Arabidopsis thaliana: one gene and its partners. The main gene of each other region encodes a partner of the protein of the gene in region 3 in a complex. Each region holds a gene or a part of one and is shown on either strand. Other genes may lie near its edges.

Region 1 (5,429 bases), on a different chromosome or scaffold from region 3:
GCAGGGCATAACTCAGCCGTAAGAAAATTCAATCCAAAAGGTACACGAGTTCACTTATTTGGGAGAAAAAATTTGACAACTTCAAATCACCACATTATTTCAACGGTTGCCATTGAAGGGTTTCTCCAGCAAACATAGGGACGATCTCTCCGAATGGGAAGTTGAAAACGTCTGGAACCTTCCAAGGAGATTTCTTCAGTGTGATCTTTGACGAGTTTCTCGGAAGGCCATAGAAATCAGGTCCATTGAAACTGGTGAAAGCTTCCAACTTGTCCAGCGCACCCGCCTGAATGTTAAAGAAGTTAAAGTTATGAACATAAGGAATCACAAACCGGGAAAGTAAACTGTTTGAAGTTACACAGTTTACCTCATCAAAGACCTTGGCGTATAGGGACAAGGCAATGGGAGCGCTGTAAATACCAGCACATCCGCAGGATGATTCTTTTCTACTCCGTTCATGTGGAGCACTATCTGTGCCGAGGAAGAACTTCTTGCTTCCACTAGTTACAGCTTTGACAATGGCTTCTCCTGTACAATGAAGTAAAAGCAATGATCTTCCGAAAGCTGCTGAAAAAATGAAATATTAATGTTCAAAAGGAAAGTGAAGAACATACTATGTATTTCTCTTTTGAGAACGGGAAGACAGTAGTTGTGAGGTTGTAATCCACCTTGGAAAAGGGCGTTCCTGTTGAGAAGGAGATGTTGTGGTGTGACTGTTGCACCCACAGACCCTATAATCAACAAAATGTTATGAGCTATGCAGATTAACAAAAACCAAAAGACAAGAAATGAAAATAAGATAGTAACAAAACCTTCTTTGCAAGATTCAACAAAATTCACAGCATCCATGGTTGTGATGTGTTCCATCACTACTTTCAGCTGCGGAAGGCGTTGGATTAGAGGCTGCAGAACTGTCTCAATGAAGATTTTCTCGCGGTCAAAGACATCGATACTCGGATCTGTGACCTCCCCATGAACCTAATCAAAACATTCCTCAGACAAGACAAAGACAAAAATACAAGTCTATGTGGTGTATGATTTATTTACCAGCAAAGGCATGTTTTGTTTGACCATCTCTTCTAGTACCGGTAAGCATTTTCCAAAGAGATCCGTGACACCATCTTGAGAGTTGGTTGTTGCTCCGGCAGGGTACAGCTTCACCGCATAAACCACACCACTTTCCCCTAATAACAAGATCATATATGCATAAACTGAACATTAGCAAGTAGAATCTCAATCAGAAAGATGAAAATGTATCTGATTAGTTTGCAACAAGATGGAGAAAGCACAGGTACTTACTTGCAAGCCTGATCTCTTCAGGTAGAGTTTTGTCAGTCAAATAAAGTGTCATAAGTGGATCAAAGCTACTCTCAGATGGCAAAGCTTTCATGATAAATTTCCGGTAAATAATGGCAGCTGCAGTGGAGGTGACAGGAGGCTTCAGATTCGGCATCACAATCGCTCTCTTAAAATTACTCGCACTGCACATAATTACATACACCATTAACCATCATGTACAGCACAAGCATCAACGCCAGCACAAGATTGTGATTGAGGAATTCATACATAACAAACAATGGTTCCACAAGAAACACCAATAGCAAACAAAAAAGTGGCTGCAAAACAAAGTAAAGCAAGGAAAGAAAAGAAAGATTGCAGGATGTTTATAAGACCTGTGGGGAACAACAGCATGAAGAAGATCACCGTCACGGAGATGAAGATGCCAATCATCAGGTTGAGTGATTGTGAGCTCCATTCTTACTGCTCTCGTCTTCACTTTCTCAGAAGATCTGTCAAACTTCAACTTCTGAGATCCAAATCCCTACATAAAGAATAAAATAGTTGACTTTAACAGACGCATAGGAGGAATTAAATAAAATTAAAACTGGATCACGTGGATTGAACTAAACAAGAATAAGACTCAAAGAGTGGTGGAGGTAGAGTACATACACTATAAGGAGAGACCAAAGTCTTTATCATCTGAAAGCTGCTCAAGGCTTTGCAAGAATTCACCTGTTCCAAAGCAAATGACAAGTAGACTCAGATTCTATAACATGACCTTAAAAAATTGACTCTGTTCTAAAGTATTAGCAGGCACTAAAACTATTCAATCATCATCAAAAGATTTCGCATTCCTTTGGTTCAATGTTTCTCCAAACGAAATTTAGTATCCAGATTAATCAAATTTCTATACACACAAATGGGTATCAGCAAAATCCAAAGAAATCAAATTATCCAAACAATAAACCACAAAATGGCGAAACTGGTAAACACCTAGAAACCAAAATCGAAAACTTGAACTTGTTTAGGTAAGCAATACGAACCTGGATAAACGAAATGCACAACAGGGATGCTTACAACACAAACAAAACGAACCCCAAAAAGAGTGATTTGAGGAAGAGATTGAAGGAGAAAGAAGAAGAAAAAACAGTACTCGTGTTTTGTTGTTTACAAGATACGACGTCGCTTAACGTAAAAGAAGAAGAAAAAAATAAAAGCTCTGTAACAGGCCAGCCCAATTTTAGCCCGATATTTTTAATGGACCTGGACCTGATCACAAATTTCAGCCCTTTTTAACATCCTTATGGATCAACATGGGACTCTCTGACTCCTCCGGTTCCATCAATACCTGCGTTTGTTGTCCTTGTTCACGACGATTCAAGCGAAGAAGCCTCTCGAGTTTCACAGGTCTAATAACTAAACCGAGTAATCGAGTCGAATGACATTAAATTGAACCGAAACTAAACCGTATTGCTTTAGGTTCGACTGACAACTACAGTACGTGAGTTAGGTTCGGTTAGAGCCGAATCTGTGTCTCTTTGTCGCAACGAGATGGCTAAAGTTATCCAAAAAGACGGTTAGAGCCAGTTGTTAGCCCCACCATGACGACACATGGGGAAGCTCATGCAAAGATTAGAGAACACGTGGCACTCTCTCGTGTTCAGAAAAATTCCAAAAGAGTGTTCAGATTTGGGCACGGAAGTGTGAAACGTGAAGCAACAATCCCTTTTAAACACAAGAACCAACTCAATACGCATCACAAAGAACCCTAAATTCCTGGAAGATCTCAAAAGGAAAATTCAAAACCAAAGCTTCAAGCAATCATCAAGCAAAGGAAAAGCTCAAATTTTGGGTCTTTTATATATTTATTTCTTAAAGTTACAATCTTTTTGATTGTGGTTTCAGTGTACGAACACGCAAGAACTCGCGTGAAAAAATTGTATCCAAGCTTCGTGAAAGGAGTCTCTCTGTATTTAGTGGCGTTTTGTTCTGTTGTTATTTCTGAAATATTGAAGCTTTTGATTTGGGTTTCAAGAGAGCAGAGATGTGTAGTTTGTCGGCGATTATGTTGTTACCAACGAAGCTGAAACCAGCTTATTCAGACAAACGGAGTAACAGTAGCAGCAGCAGCTCACTCTTCTTCAACAATAGAAGATCCAAGAAGAAGAACCAATCGATTGTTCCCGTAAGGATTTGTTCTCTTAATCATTTTGACATATCTTTGTTTTATGTGTCTCAGTTATGGATATATCTATGCCTCTGTCTTTATTGATGGAACTTGAAACTTTTGGGATCGGTGCAGGTTGCAAGGTTGTTTGGACCGGCGATTTTCGAATCATCCAAATTGAAAGTACTCTTCTTAGGGGTTGATGAGAAGAAGCATCCTTCAACGCTCCCTAGGACTTACACACTCACTCACAGTGACATTACAGCTAAACTAACCTTAGCTATTTCTCAATCCATAAACAACTCTCAGGTAAAAACACCTCTCTCTCTGGTCTTAACATATCTACATGGCTCTGTTTATAGGAGTAGAATGTTTATGTATTTGATTATTTGGAGCAAATATTAGAGGCTTATGTATGATTGTTTTAACCTATGTATGTGTCTATATTCACCAGAATCTCTTAACACTTTAGAGGCTGATATGTATAGAAATGTTTTTTATAGTTGCAAGGATGGGCAAATAGGCTATACCGGGATGAAGTTGTGGCAGAATGGAAGAAAGTGAAAGGGAAAATGTCGCTTCACGTTCATTGTCACATAAGCGGTGGCCATTTCCTTTTAGATCTCTTTGCAAAGTTTCGATATTTCATCTTTTGCAAAGAACTACCTGTGGTAAGTTCCCAAATTCATAAGAAACTTTTTATTGGTTTCATGTAAAACAAAATGTTTATTGTTTTGATATATACAGGTGTTGAAGGCTTTTGTGCATGGAGATGGGAACTTGTTGAACAACTATCCTGAGCTACAAGAAGCTCTTGTTTGGGTCTATTTCCATTCTAATGTCAATGAGTTCAACAAAGTCGAGTGTTGGGGTCCGCTTTGGGAAGCTGTTTCGCCTGATGGTCACAAGACTGAGACTCTTCCCGAGGCTCGGTGTGCGGACGAGTGTAGTTGTTGTTTTCCAACCGTTAGCTCGATTCCATGGTCTCATAGTCTTAGTAATGAAGGTGTAAATGGTTACTCTGGGACTCAGACTGAGGGAATTGCTACTCCAAATCCGGAGAAACTCTAGTGACTAAATATCAAATTACAAGTTTTTCTTTTGGTAGTTTGTACAAAGTGAAAAGGAAATGGCAGGACTTTCCTTTTGGTGGATCTAAATATTGGTTTGGTTTGGTGTACATAATGTGGTATAGGAAAATAATGATTATTTGTAGGTTAAATACAGATTTTAAAGTTTCAAATGGTATTTTGTGTCTACTCTGAAGTCTTTATCATAGTTGTATACTTGTATTGTATCTCATCCACAAGATCAAAATGTAAATTTCTTACAGATTAGCTAATATTAAAGGTGACAGACTGGTATAGTACTACTGCAATGCAAACATAAAGATGAATAAATTGTTGTTTAATGAACATATATATTTTAATATATCAAAACATTCATGAGAATCATCACCAATTTAAAGTTATACTAATATCCCAAATAAGAATAGTTTAGAAATATGAAGATATTCATGAGAATCATCACCAAAGTAACAATAGACGTATATTAAGGACCGAATTCGTCGGTGTAACGGTGAGAAACTAAGGAGAAACGTGAAGGTAAAGAGATGGCAAAAGACTTTGTCTCTCTGGTGGTTTTGCAAAGCGTATCAGCCACTTCTTGCTCCTAATGATTCCAAATTATTTTCTTGGATTTATTTGGTCTCTTTCTTCAATATCTTTTTCATTTTATAACCAAATCAAGATGACTTTTTTTCTCTGACCCCATTCGTCTATCTAATTTACGACCAAATACACCAAATACAGAAAGAGAAGAAGAACAAGTAATATAAGAGAATGGTAACGAATTATTGCATTATTATCATGGGCTTATTTTATAAAATGTTGTGTTCGTAAGTAAATAAATACAAAAGAAACTATATTTTGATATATGAAGAAAAATTGAATAAAGATATACACTTTGGAAAATTTTGGGG
Region 2 (6,044 bases), on a different chromosome or scaffold from region 3:
GGAAAGGTTCAATGTATTCCAAAATGGGTTTAGAAGTGCTTTTTGGGAATCTATTAATGGGAACACAAAAGATTGCTAAATTTGGATGGAATATTTTTGTTTTTATAGAAAAAAGAAAGAAAGGTAAAAACTCGGTAATGAATGTTGTGTGTTGCATGGCCACTGTTTTGCGTGCTCTCTTTTTTCAATTTTAGGGTTTTTTGCATGATACCTTTTTGCCACATTTGGAGGATTTTGTCAGTTCTTCTGGGTCCTACTTTCCCTTTTCTTCCTAAAGTTGTTTTTTTCTTTCCTCTTTTTTCCTTCCCTTTAAAATTAGATTTATTAGTACTAGTGTATTTTCTCTTTAATGTTGTTGTAAGACATAAATCAGACCAACAATGTTGACCGACATAAAAATAAAAAAAAGTTCAGAGCAACAATTAGAAACAATTTCAAAGTACCCCCAAGAATAAAATTGCAACAACTAGCATTGTTTGATGGTTACCATTATGTTATCAACTAGTGAGAGATAAAAAAACATACTGAGAAGTAATTTCTTACAACTAGTGTAGAACGACACTTTAGTAGCAGCTTTGTAACACCGGTTTTTTTTTTTTGACACTCAAATCAATAAATAGATAACGAGATTTTATCAGAGACTAAGAAACAAATTAAGAAAAGAAGCAGACCAAATCTCATGTTGGATATATAGCCTGTGTAAGTAAGTTTCTCAAAAGTGGTTTGGATAGCCTTCTAATTCAGTCCCTTATTTGTTGACCGTGGAACTGACAAAAATGAGATTCAAGCTAAGGGAAGAATATGGTCAAGGATACGACTTTGCCTCGAGAAAAGTAACCAATGATACGTCTTTTCAAACACCATACATGTTCAATAAAACTGTTCACCTTTGGAAATTATTAACAATTCAAATACACTCACTTTCTTCTTTTGGAATCAGAGTAATTTCAAGCTCTCTTCCAATTTTTAAGACAACTCATATGGCCTGCAATGTCGCCTTCCTATATTAATCTGAACCTGTGGATTATATACAACAATGCAAGAAAGGAGTTCCTTCGATTTAGGTGACTAACTATCAAGTAGATATTTTTCTAACTTTTCCTTTTGAACATTTTAGAAACTTGATTCTACAGACAACATTATATAGCTAGCATCGGATGCAACATAGATTACAATTAATTTACACTAGACGACTGTTCCATGCTTCTTCTATGCAGACTTCCCTCCAAACACCCTTATAAAACTGGATCTGAAAGATTCTCTAACTCCTCTCCAGTACGTATAGTTTGACCCATATAACCACAGATTCACTGCTTTTTTCCAACCATCTCTCGGGAACTCAATTTCTCTACCAATCCTGGACTCCTCCCAATCTTCTTCAGTGTCCTCCAAAAGCGGGAGCGCTTCAAAACCACCAGACTCCAGGTGCTTGATCCACCCGCGCATCAGATAGTTCACCACCTGCTCGTTTTCATATCCCAAATGGTGGGTTCATTATACCTAATTGCAGAGTTTGAAGAATTTATTGACTAGTTCATTATACCTCAGGGACTTCATCGTGTGGGCAGTGACCCGCTGGGCTGATCTCGTAGTATGGAGCGTTGGGGATTTCCTTCTTTATCTTCTTTCCCCATAACGGTCTCACCCATGGATCTTCTCTTCCATACATGAGACATATCTGAACATTGTTTTCCTTACACCTAGCATAAACCATCAAATAGCAGCATTCCTCATAAGCAATAACACCAATCACGCAGAGTAAAAAACATATAAAAACAAGAAACCACACTGTCTTATACCTAGATAAAGCTTCGGAGAAAGATAGCTCTCCACCAGGAGCAAGCATGATTGAAGCAAACGATGCTGCAGCAGCCGGATGCTGTGTGACCTCCACAATACGTGAGAATACTTTATCCACATTGATAGAATGGTCTGTGTAGACCTGTTTAAGTATCTCAGCTATGCTTTCAGGATCACTTATCTTTTGCCACCTGCAGTTTCATTGGGAAGTAAAGATATTAGACTGATAGAGATAGAAATAGAAAATGATACTTTTCAGGTGAGGAGATGTGTTAATAAAGTCTCCCTTACACCAATTCTGTGATTTTTTTCACTCTTTCCGGCAGAGGGAATGCTCCGGGCCATGGAAAGAGACGTGCTAGCTTTGGGGATCTTACTGGATTAGGGAAGAAACCCCAGAAAGGTGTTGCATTAAGCAAGGTAACACCCTTAACCAGGTGAGGATGGGTTGCTGCAAAGTAGAGAGCTACATACCCTCCAAGTGAGTTCCCTGCAATGTACACAGGCTCACCGATAACCTGTACAACACAAATACCACATACTCTTACCGACTCAGCAGCTTATTTCAGATGAAAAAGATCGTGATCTCAAACTAGAACACAAACGGAATCAAAGAACAGAGATGAATTCTAATATCTAGTGCATCCTAAACTTTCCCATTCCCAAAGCAACACCAGAAGACTCCATACCCACACTTTCAGGTTCTGAGCTGAAAACTATTGAAATCCATGAGTATACGACACATAGCAACAATCTACACTAAAAAAAAAAAGCTAACACACTGCTTTTGAAATTACGACTAAAAGAACAAAATCAACAGCTTAAAGAGTAATAGAACAACTGAACTCAGATATTGCTAACCTCTTCTACAAAATACTGAACTTGATCCCTCCAGAGATCCAGAGAGAATACAAGTTGATCAGCCCACGGTTCAGTTTTGTCACCAAATCCCCAAAATGGTTCCTTATCTTCCGAGGAACTGGTTTCTTCAGTCATGGTAGTAGGATCTTCAGTAGGGAGAGATAAACCCTGTCCAAGAAAATCAATAGCCCATACTCGATAATCCCTTCCCAAATCGGTAAGCTGCTTCTCATAGTGAAATGAACCAACGCCAAAGCCAGGAAGAAACAACACCGCAGGAGCATCGAGATTGTCACAACCGGCTTTCTCATAATGTACTCTAAGCTTGGGCTTCCACTCGCAGTGAGAATGACTGATTCGAGCAGCAATTTCACCATTTGATTCATCAGGCAAACCAGGAATCAAAACCTTTGACGTTGATTCTCCTCTTCTGGCTATACGACCCAAGTCATCATTCTCACCAACAACATAACCATCGGAATTTCCACTTCGAATCACAAGTCTGGATTTTTTGACCCCTGAGAATAACAAACTTGACCGATTTGGGACCAATCTTTTCGTTGCTAATTTACTACTCCAAGTAACCACAGAGCACTGGGGCACAACGTTCAGTGAGATTATCTCCATAACAAGTTCCTGCAAATGAACAACCAAAAGGCATATCCTTTAATACGAATTTTCCACTCATATATCTCAACTTCATAGCAAAGCTAAGAATAACAAGGAAAATCACATATGAAGCTGGAATCTTTGTATAGTTATCAGAATTTTGCTTCAAAAGCTGAAACCACATACAAAAAGTTGATGAACTTGCGGTAATCTTCTATGAACTCGTCTTATCAAATCCTAATCAAAACAAAGCAAATCAAGGTCAAGCCAATCTTCTATCAAATTGAAACCAAACAACAACAACACCACCCGATTCATCGACAAAGAACTCCAGCTATATAATAAACCCAGGAAGAAAAGAAAGAAAAGAGAGAGTTGCAACTTGTACCTTTTCAAATTCCAGAAGCGAGAAGCTTCATCAAATGGTCTCTCTGAGAGCGTTATTGAGAAATTAAGCGAGGAAAAATCTAAAGGTGAAGAAGAAATAGAAGAATTGGGTTGCTTGCTGGCTTGGTTAACTTCAATCGTTCGGTGCAAACCGACAGCAACGTTTTTATCGAGTTTTTATTTTTTCTTAAAGGATCCAAAATTCATACTGTATTATTAAGTGTAGGGTTATTTTTTTCACAATATGACATTTTGTTTTGGATCTGACATTGCTAATTTGACACCGATGTAACATTGCAAAAACACATGTTTGTTGCAAAAATATGACAGAATAATATTTTTTTTAAAAACAATTGATTTTTGATCTTCTTTTCCATTGTGTAACAATCGGAAAACAAAAAAAACAATCGAAAAACCTGCAGTTTTCATATCAAACAATATAAAACCCGTTTAATTTTTGAATGGTTTAATCACTATTTTAACGGTGTTATTTGAGTTTTCTAGTTGATTTTAAATGTTAGAGAATTGATCTTGTGTGAACTAAAAATCCTAATGGTCGAAGACTAGAAAGCGAAATACACTACTCTTCAATTAGAATACAGACAACTATCTCTAAACCGAGCGTAGAATCAATAGCAATAAACCGACCGTAGAAACTGGTTTCGCTGTAACCATAACCTTTCTTAATAAGACAACCGCGTTTTACCAGTAAACGACTTTTCCTCGCAATTTAATCCCACTTTTGTTATTTTTTCAAATTCGTTTTTCCTCGAAGGAGCATCGAGTAAATATATCATTAAAGAGCCTTTAATAACTTAGACATAATAATTATATCTTTAAAAAAAAAACAGAAAAATTCTTTGCTTTGCAACAAAGGCAGACAGACAAAAGGCTAATTCGGAGCTCTCCTCCACATCTTCTTCCAAAACACAAACAAACCCCCAAATTTCCAGAAAAATCAGATCATTCTTTCATCAATCTCGTCTTCTTTAATCTTAGGTGAGAATTCATCAGCTCAAAAACGCAGCACCCGATCGTTTTACGACTCAAATCAGAGAAGCTGATTCTTTTCCAATCATTCCAATTTCCATTTCTTCCTTGGGAGGTGATCGACGATTATTCAATTTATGTTTTTCAATTTCTCTTTCTGTATTCGTCAATTTGCTTGAATTTGATCCTAGGGTTTTGATTTTGTTGACTATTTTAGGTTTTACACCAAATTAGCCGTCGAAAGGGGTGCTTCTTTGATCTAATTTCGATGGCGGGATTAGAGAAAAACGCTGATTTCTCAGGGAAGACGACGAAATCGGCTACAACGACGTCGTTCTTCAACAGGTCGCTTACAATTCACGGAAGAACAGTGGTGGATTCGGGCCCCAAATCCCACAATCTCAATCCTTCTCTCAATCGTACCACCTCCATTACCAAATTCTACACCCCCGTAGAATCGATGGGAACTTCTCTTAAAGGCAAAGTCAAAAACCTTTGTAGATTATTCGAGACTTCCAAACCCGTTAAACCTGCCTTAGCTGAGATTCCTCAGAAGCAGAAATCCGGTAAATCCCTTTTACCCGAATCGCGGATATCGCCTTTTTCGAGCTTAAACAACTCGGTCATCCGTCTTCCCGGGACAGAGGACAGGATTGTGGTGTATTTTACTAGCTTGAGAGGGATTAGACGGACGTATGAGGATTGCTATGCTGTCAGAATGATATTTAGAGGGTTTCGGGTTTGGATCGATGAGCGCGACGTCTCCATGGATATCGCTTATAGGAAAGAGTTGCAGATTGCAATGGGAGAGAAGTCTGTGTCTTTGCCTCAAGTTTTCATTATGGGCAAGTATGTTGGTGGTGCTGATGTGATCAAGAGTTTGTTTGAGATTGGTGAGCTTGCTAAGATTCTTAAAGAGTTTCCAATGAGACAACCAGGGTTTGTTTGCCATTGCTGTGGGGACATTCGATTTGTTCCGTGTTCCAATTGTAGTGGCAGCAAGAAACTGTTTGATGAGGATGAAGATAGGGTCAAGAGATGTCCTGAATGCAATGAGAATGGATTGATACGTTGTCCTGATTGCTCTTCTTGAGATATATCATCAATGAACCTGAAAAAACCATTAAAAAAAAGAAGAAAAAAGAGGTATTTATTTCTCTTTTGATGTTTCCATTGTTGTGTAGAACAGTGAATGATGCTGCCACAAGTATCCGAAAATCTCTTTTGGATCAGCAGCATTTCACTTTGGGTTTTTTAAGGTTTGCGATCAACGGTAATGGGAATGCCGGTGATCGTGGATTTAGTTTATGTATGTGTTTGCTACTAAGGGCTAAATGTAATTGTGTAATCAAAATGTCTGAAACGGGTAGTAAGCATTTTGACTCTTGTGTGTCAAT
Region 3 (7,487 bases):
AGAGTACACCCACCGTTTATCATCAAAACCTGACAGAGTAACGTCACAAGAACCAACAGCTAATCTCTGGACAACACCCCCTATTGGTTGGACGAAATGCAACTATGACGGCACTTACCACAGCAACGCTCCGAGTAAAGCGGGTTGGCTCTTACGGGATGATCGAGGAACCTTTCTAGGTGCAGCTCATGCTATAGGCTCTATTACTACCAATCCGATGGAAAGTGAACTCCAAGCTTTAGTCATGGCCATGCAACATTGTTGGAGTAGGGGCTATAGGAAAATTTACTTTGAAGGTGACAATAAAGAAGTCTCAGAGATTGTCAATGGTCGGTCTTCAAATTTTGCAGTTTTTAATTGGATAAGAGATATAAGCGCTTGGAGATCAAAATTTGAAGAATGCAAGTTTACTTGGACAAGGCGATTTTCAAACATGGCTGCAGATGCTCTGGCAAAACAACAACTTCCTTTGAACACTCAGTTTTATTGCTATAACTATATCCCGTTTGTAATAACTGATTTTTTACATCGCGACTTTGCTACAGCAAATTATTAATAAAGCTGATGTTTGAGGAAAAAAAAAAAAACTACAAGATCAAACCCTAGTTCCTCCGATGAAATTGCGGTTAGAAAACTAAATATTGATTGACCTAATTCAAAGAGACCTTTTTTGTGCAGAAACTAAATATTAAAAATCCAAGGTTCCAAGAGATCAAATAGGAATTTAAGCGAGAAGCAACATACCTGAGTCTCGTGACAACGGCGCGTGGTTTGCGTCAATACTTGGGACTCTCGGTGAGATCCGCCATGATTTGCTAGAGAGATCGTGAAACGCAAGAAAACAGAGAGACAAACGGTGGCGAGATCATTGATGGTGTGATCACCGAGTTACAGTTCCGACGGTTCTGACGGTGGTGAAAATGGATGGTGATCATCGAGCTTTGACGTTCTCGTGATCGGTGAGTTCTTTTTGTAAGAGAGGAACAGAAACAAACAGAGGCTAAAAAGACAAAAGAAGAAGAAGAAGGTGGATTTTTTGTTTTCTTCTCGTAATCCATGCTTTGGACCTTGTATCAGCCACTTATGATCATTTGCTATATTGATGCTTTCCAATTTTAGAGTATTGAAATGGGTTTCTTTGACAATCATTTTGAGTTAGTCATCATTCCTTGTTCTGAATCAAGAATTGGCTTTTGTTATGTTGTCTAGGTTCTGCTTGTAACTAGAGTAATGCTATTGTAGTCTCTGTTGTTTATTTGTAGAATCATAGAGAGTCGTGGAAGCATGTTTTAGTTGTTACTCTCGATTTCTTGTCGATGTTGTGGTGTTATAAATTGAGCGTTTTAACCAATACAAGTTAGGAGATGGTTAGTATGTGACTATGTGTTAGTGGCCATGTATGTAGTTCGATCAGATAATCTGAATGATGTGCTAAAGAGCTTGCATAGGAAGACTGCCTTTGTGTTAGCTTGCATAGAGACTTGTTGCAATATATGAGACTGAAAACTATTATGTGAAAACTTTAATTTGTGTACAAATATTTTTAACTCTTAAAATTAAACTAACATTGTACCAATTAGCACATGAAAGAAACACAGAATTCTGTGAACATATGATGAATAACTATATAAACACATTATGGATTCAGTTAAGGAGACAGAAACAAGAAGATGAATTTCAGATATATAGCAATAGAGTCACTTATAATCATATCAGAGCTTATACTTTATACAAATTATCACTTTAGTCCTTAAATTAAAACCGATTTAATCGACAATCTTGTTATTCTTTAAAACAATTTGTTCTTATTTTCAATCTTTAAATTTTGCAACAATCGACAGAACTTATCGTTATTCCGTGTTTTTATTTTCATATCTTTCTTAAAATGTTTCAAAATAATATATGTTTAATATTTTCTGATTTACAATAGTTATTAAGTTATATGAAATATAATTATTTTAAATTTTATTTTATTTTTCAGAAAACTCTTATAAGAGAGCTTACCATTAGAATATGAAAAAAAATTAAAACTCTCTTATAACTTTTTAAAAATTTTAATAATAAAAAAATGGAGAAAGCCCGTGAAAGAGCTCTTACGAACCAAAACCATTCAGTCCGGTTAAGAATTGGTTATCAAGTTTGGTTCCTAAAAGATATCCAAGTTCAAAAGCAAAAAAATATCTTCTTTTCTCTCTCTCTACTCTCTTCTCTTCTTCTCTTCTTCTCTTCTTCTCTGGCTGGGCAACCATGATTACTGTCGTCACCTCCAGGCTCTCTCTCCTTCCTCCAGTCTTCTCCGTCGTTAACTCTTCTTCTTCGCGTTCCAAAGGTGCTCAATTTATTTCTGCCACGTCTTCTCTTTATAGCACTCTGTTTTACACACGTCGTTGATTCTTCAGTTTTTTAAAAGACCCGTCTTATACAAAATTTCAGTGTAACCGATCCCTGAAATTCGTTAAAGGGATGAAATTTTATCTAAGATTCGGAGTTTTCTTTTCGAACATAGTGGTAATGTTTGTCGAATGCTTGATTTGGTCTTCCACAGCTGTCACTATCGAGTTTGAAGATAGAAATCTTGTGTTAACTTAGTATGTATTACTGCATAATGTCAATTCTGTTTGAAAGCATCAGAATTTCGGAACAGATTTTTGTTTCGTATAGCATCGATCTTTGTCTTGTGTGTTTTTATCTTCTCTCTGAAGCCTGCATGAACCCTTCTCTTATGGCTTTAATTGCAGATATGAATCTAGAGCCAAAAAAGAAGGTTAAATTAAGAGAAGACTGGAGAGAAAAGTCCAGACCTATCCCACCCGGAGGAACCTATCCAGCTAAAGACCATTGCAGGTTTTTTCTTTCTTTTTTGTTTGTTTGTTTGTTTACCTCACTATTTTTGTCTCATTCTTATCAAGATCCTTGGTGTTCTGATGGGTTTGCAGTCAGTGCGGGCTATGCGACACCTACTACATTGCCCATGTGAAGGAGGCATGTGCATTTCTTGGAGATGGAATGTCAAGGATTGAGGTAATGTCCATATAAATGGATAAGATTTGATACTCTTTTTAATTGATGGGCTAAGATTCTTATTTTGTTAATATTTTAAGTTCTTGTGCAGAGCTTGGAACCTGTTGTGCATGGTAGAGGAAGGAAAGCAGATTCCTTACAAGATACATATTTTGGGGTGCATCAAGAGCAGCTCTATGCTCGTAAGTTGAAGCCTGTCGAAGGTAAATAGACACTTCCCTTCCACTGTTCCACATTTTCTACTAACTTCTTTTCCTGGCTCAATCTAAGCTAGGGCACTTTTGTGTCTCGTTCAAGATGAATTTAGCTTAGCTTTGTTGTTTACTTTTCATTCTATTTTCGGTTGCAGGAGCTCAGTGGACTGGAATTGTCACAACCATAGCCATTGAGATGCTGAAATCTAATATGGTTGAAGCTGTCGTTTGTGTGCAGAGGTAAAACTACTGTTGAATTTCAGAAATGGACTAGGCTTACATTTATCGACCATGCTGTAGATTTTTCCATCTATCCATGTAACTGATTTATTGAAATATTACAGTGATCCTGAAGACAGATTATCTCCAAGACCAGTATTAGCCAGGTTTTCCACCTTCCTAATGTGGTTTATTTTGAGTCCATTCTTCTTCAAGTCGCCATTTTTTAGATGTGGATCCATATTTTGCTGTTACTCTGGATATAGAAGCGTATTGATGTTTCATTTCTTTTCATTCTAAGGACACCTGAAGAAGTTTTGGCTGCAAGAGGTGTCAAGCCAACTCTGTCTCCTAATCTGAATACTCTTGAATTAATCGAGGTTATTTGCCAAACCCTTATTTCTTGTTTGTGTTTTCAATCACTGAATCCATTTCACATGAACTTAGAATTTGTATTGTAACAGGCTTCCGGAGTGAAGCGTCTTCTGTTTTGCGGTGTGGGTTGCCAAGTGCAAGGTATGGGCTCAACATACTTTTTTGTGGACGTATATTTCAAGTTTCTCCATATCGTGACTCTCATAGTATTGTAATGCAGAGTGATTTCTTATACTGCAGCATTGAGATCAGTGGAGCAGCATCTGAATCTGGAAAAGTTGTATGTACTAGGCACCAATTGTGGTATTTTCCTCATCCTATCTAGATTTGTTTTTTCTCCAGAACTTTCACAACTAGTTCTTGTGTTGTACTTTTGAACATTCCATGTTGTATATGTTATTTCGGAGTCTTGTATGCTTAGGTCTAGAAATGCTTATACATTTTTAAACAAGTAAAAAGAACATCTTTGATTAATAGTGGACAACGGAACACGAGATGGACTAGACAAGTTTCTGAAAGCAGCTAGTAAAGAGCCAGAGACTGTTCTCCATTATGAATTTATGCAAGATTACAAGGTTAGCATTAATACAAAACCATCACTTATCTGTGCATTTTCTTTGGTGATGCCAATCTTGTTCAATTTCTCTTATAGGTCCAACTCAAACACTTGGATGGACACATTGAAGAGGTAAATTCGCTTAAAATACTGTGTTGCTCTGCAATTGCAGCTGAAAGCCGTTTTTAAAAAACTTTTTTTGGCTAAAGCAGGTTCCCTATTTCTCTCTACCTGCAAACGATTTAGTAGATGTCATAGCTCCATCGTGTTACAGGTAATACAAGTCTCTGCATTGTCTCTATACCTTGAAATAGATAACCTGTCGGAAATTTTTAAAACTTGTCTACAATTACAAACCCTATCTTTTTTATTCTGCAGCTGCTTTGATTACACAAATGCATTAGCGGTGAGTGTTTCTCTAGCAATTAAGATGTCTTTTCACTTAATTTTGATTCTGCCAATTTCAAACATTTCCTGATATGTATGAGCTTGTTTATCTAGGATTTGGTTATCGGTTACATGGGTGTTCCGAAGTATTCAGGTCTGAACATGACTGACCATCCACAGTATATTACAGTGAGGTCAATATTTCTACGTATTTTGACATGGACCATATAGGTTCTCGTGGTTGGATAAAATTAGTTTTGTTTATGCCTTAAACCACAGAAATGAACGTGGGAAAGAAATGCTCAGCTTGGTAGAAAACCTTTTGGAGATCACTCCAACAATCAGCAGCGTAAAGTTTCTAACATTTATATTTGTTGTTATATTTAAGACTTTAAGAGTCCACTTAACAAATAACATGAACAAACACACCTTTTGTTGTTGTTTCAGGGTGATCGGCGACCTTTTGTGACAGAAACTGTTAAGGCAGACGATGCTGCTAAGTTTGGTATGTTTTCAAACGTATTCGAAACTCTTTTGTTTCTTGAATCGTCTCTGCTTAAAGACATTCAGTTTCAAGCAAAGCTAGATGCCAAAAAGAAAGTTCTCAGCAAATGCATGCAACTAACATTGTGCTAAAGTCTTCTAACTAGTCTATAATTTCTTAGGTCAAGGTCCTGCTCAGCCAGCGCCACTATTTGTTGGAAACATTATTGCGTTCATCCTAAATTTGGTAAGATTATTTCCTTATGAACACAAACCGAGAAACAAGCTCATTGCATAAAAAGTCAAAGAGTTTCTTAACTTGCAAAACCATTCTTGCTTCAGGTTGGTCCTAAGGGTCTAGAATTTGCTCGGTACTCGTTGGACTACCATACCATCAGAAACTATTTGTACGTAAACCGCAAATGGGGAAAGCAAAGGTAAGATCTGAAACACACTCCTAGAGATAAAAGTTTATTGCGATCAACTGTGTATTTCTATACTATTGGATCGTTCTCTAATGACCAAAGCTGCATTACCATCTACAGAGCAAACACCCACATGCCATCATATGCCAAAAAGATAGTGGAAATGTACAACAAAAACGGCCAAATAGATAAAATGCTCTCCAAGAAATGAACATTTTAGGCCTTTCTCATGTAAGTTTCCAAATGTATATTTCATCCTACAAGTGAGTAAATGTACATTGGTCCTACTGTTTCTCAACTTGTAGTATGTTAGTAATATCCAAAACTATTTCCCTCGTGAATTTGGTAAGACACCGGCAAGAAAAGATGGGTCGGTTTGGTGTTTTTTGGCAGAGAACAGAGAATAAGAAACAGTCTAAATCAGCGGCTGAATCCAAATCAACCCATGTGGGTTCCTTCCTCCATATCTTTAGGTTAAGGTGATGTCCGAGTAAAAGGTTGCAGGGTTTTGCATGAGAACATGAATAACTGTTTTAAGAGGATGGGAACCAGACATTTACACAGTTGGGGGGAATTAGCTTTTAATGTCTTTTTTTTGCTTGGACAAAGAAGAAGGAACCATGGTTAAGCTTCACTCGCTCGCTCACTCACTCACTCACTCACTAACTTACTCATCACCATATTTCACACATTGGAAACTTCAAATTTTACTCTCTCTCTTTTTTTCTTTTTTTGTCTTTTTGTTAGTCAAGTCTCTGCTCTGCTCGTTCAATGACTTTGCTGCAGAGACTCTCAGACCTCAAGTGAAACTCATAAATGTCTCTGCTCTTTTGCACCATAGTTGATTTTTTCTCACCAGAGGCATTGTCCTAATACAGAGCATGTAAACGTTTTTTCTAATAATATATTTAAGTGAAATAAAGCTTACTTTGGTACCTTGAATTAATTTTGAGTTGCAATTTGACATATAACAATGTTAGAGAATTCATTTACGTATTGCATATTTTGGATCTGTATCTGTATCTGTTTCAGTATATATATATTTATAACTAGATCCAACATCATATATAATATATGATTTCACTCAAGTTTTTCTGAGAAAGTTGTATAATGTTATATTTATTATCCATCTGTGTTTCAAATTAGATACATTGTTCATCCCTAATGGATTTTGCATATCCTACAGAAATGCATGTTTCAGTATTTTCAACTTGTGTTCCCTGGAGGTTGTAATCCATGAAACAACTTTAATATGGACTGTCCAAGACAATCATGTGTAAATCAATCATTTGCCAAATATAATGATTACAAAATGGCTAATAATTCCTTAATCAGTTAAATAACAGCTCTAACTTGTGAGAGTATTCTTCCAATAATGAAACAGCATGAAATTAGTTGTTTCTTTTCCTGATCAACAACATCATCATAGAGATAACACAACATGCATCGTTGAGAAAAGAATTACAAAACCGTAAAATATATTTGTCATATTAGATTAAGCAAAACTTCTTACAAGAGTTCAAAATCTAAAATGAAGATTTAAAAAAAATACAACAACAAAATAAAGCACTCTTAAAATAAAAATACATAAAAAAGCCACATCTTCCTAAAAAAACAAAGAAAAATCCCCCTATTATTTTTTTCTTTTCACAATTCTCTTTTTTTTGGGGGTATTTTCTTCCGAGGAGAGGGCTTAATTATCTTCTTCTTTTTTTGAATATTTTTTTCCCTAAATTTGATAATGATGATTAGAAATGTGAAATACAACGACGATGACGAGCAGCAGCAGTTTTCTTCTGTTGCTTAGACTCTTCTTTCCACCTATTA

Evidence for each region.
Region 1: HCAR (region 3) and NYE1 share a complex: the UniProt entries of both Arabidopsis thaliana proteins name them as parts of the SGR1-CCE-LHCII complex.
Region 2: HCAR (region 3) and PPH share a complex: the UniProt entries of both Arabidopsis thaliana proteins name them as parts of the SGR1-CCE-LHCII complex.

The regions. Positions count from the first base shown.
Region 1 is NC_003075.7:12,015,866-12,021,294, reverse strand, and holds NYE1 (non-yellowing 1), read left to right. Parts: upstream 1-2,651; 5' UTR 2,652-2,688; intron 2,689-2,760; 5' UTR 2,761-3,325; coding exon 3,326-3,466; intron 3,467-3,583; coding exon 3,584-3,757; intron 3,758-3,951; coding exon 3,952-4,119; intron 4,120-4,195; coding exon 4,196-4,519; 3' UTR 4,520-4,832; downstream 4,833-5,429. Other genes in the region: PYR4 (pyrimidin 4), read right to left, coding at 95-286, 368-528, 615-731, 813-978, 1,048-1,184, 1,300-1,481, 1,674-1,822, 1,951-1,980. UniProt on the Arabidopsis thaliana protein: Magnesium chelatase involved in chlorophyll a degradation in the chlorophyll-protein complexes of photosystem I (PSI) and photosystem II (PSII). Contributes to the degradation of PSI and PSII in the thylakoid membranes.
Region 2 is NC_003076.8:4,450,854-4,456,897, forward strand, and holds PPH (pheophytinase), read right to left. Parts: upstream 3,856-6,044; 5' UTR 3,659-3,855; intron 3,508-3,658; 5' UTR 3,455-3,507; coding exon 3,395-3,454; intron 3,298-3,394; coding exon 2,662-3,297; intron 2,319-2,661; coding exon 2,092-2,318; intron 1,992-2,091; coding exon 1,800-1,991; intron 1,701-1,799; coding exon 1,544-1,700; coding exon of another isoform or gene 1,538-1,543; exon of another isoform or gene 1,462-1,537; coding exon 1,210-1,461; 3' UTR 882-1,209; downstream 1-881. Other genes in the region: AT5G13810 (Glutaredoxin family protein), read left to right, coding at 4,916-5,740. UniProt on the Arabidopsis thaliana protein: Alpha/beta hydrolase dephytylating specifically the Mg-free chlorophyll pigment (pheophytin), yielding pheophorbide. No activity on chlorophyll. Belongs to the chlorophyll catabolic enzymes (CCEs).
Region 3 is NC_003070.9:1,281,253-1,288,739, reverse strand, and holds HCAR (coenzyme F420 hydrogenase family / dehydrogenase, beta subunit family), read left to right. Parts: upstream 1-2,120; 5' UTR 2,121-2,247; coding exon 2,248-2,329; intron 2,330-2,738; coding exon 2,739-2,844; intron 2,845-2,936; coding exon 2,937-3,021; intron 3,022-3,112; coding exon 3,113-3,224; intron 3,225-3,370; coding exon 3,371-3,455; intron 3,456-3,559; coding exon 3,560-3,601; intron 3,602-3,735; coding exon 3,736-3,814; intron 3,815-3,898; coding exon 3,899-3,950; intron 3,951-4,049; coding exon 4,050-4,112; intron 4,113-4,286; coding exon 4,287-4,384; intron 4,385-4,461; coding exon 4,462-4,497; intron 4,498-4,577; coding exon 4,578-4,639; intron 4,640-4,743; coding exon 4,744-4,771; intron 4,772-4,866; coding exon 4,867-4,946; intron 4,947-5,031; coding exon 5,032-5,101; intron 5,102-5,199; coding exon 5,200-5,257; intron 5,258-5,417; coding exon 5,418-5,482; intron 5,483-5,577; coding exon 5,578-5,672; intron 5,673-5,780; coding exon 5,781-5,871; 3' UTR 5,872-6,577; and 1 more. Other genes in the region: AT1G04625 (Polynucleotidyl transferase, ribonuclease H-like superfamily protein), read left to right, coding at 1-508, 820-909; YUC3 (YUCCA 3), read right to left, coding at 7,409-7,487. UniProt on the Arabidopsis thaliana protein: Probable iron-sulfur flavoprotein that converts 7-hydroxymethyl chlorophyll a to chlorophyll a using ferredoxin as a reducing equivalent. Catalyzes the reduction of a hydroxymethyl group to a methyl group. Belongs to the chlorophyll catabolic enzymes (CCEs).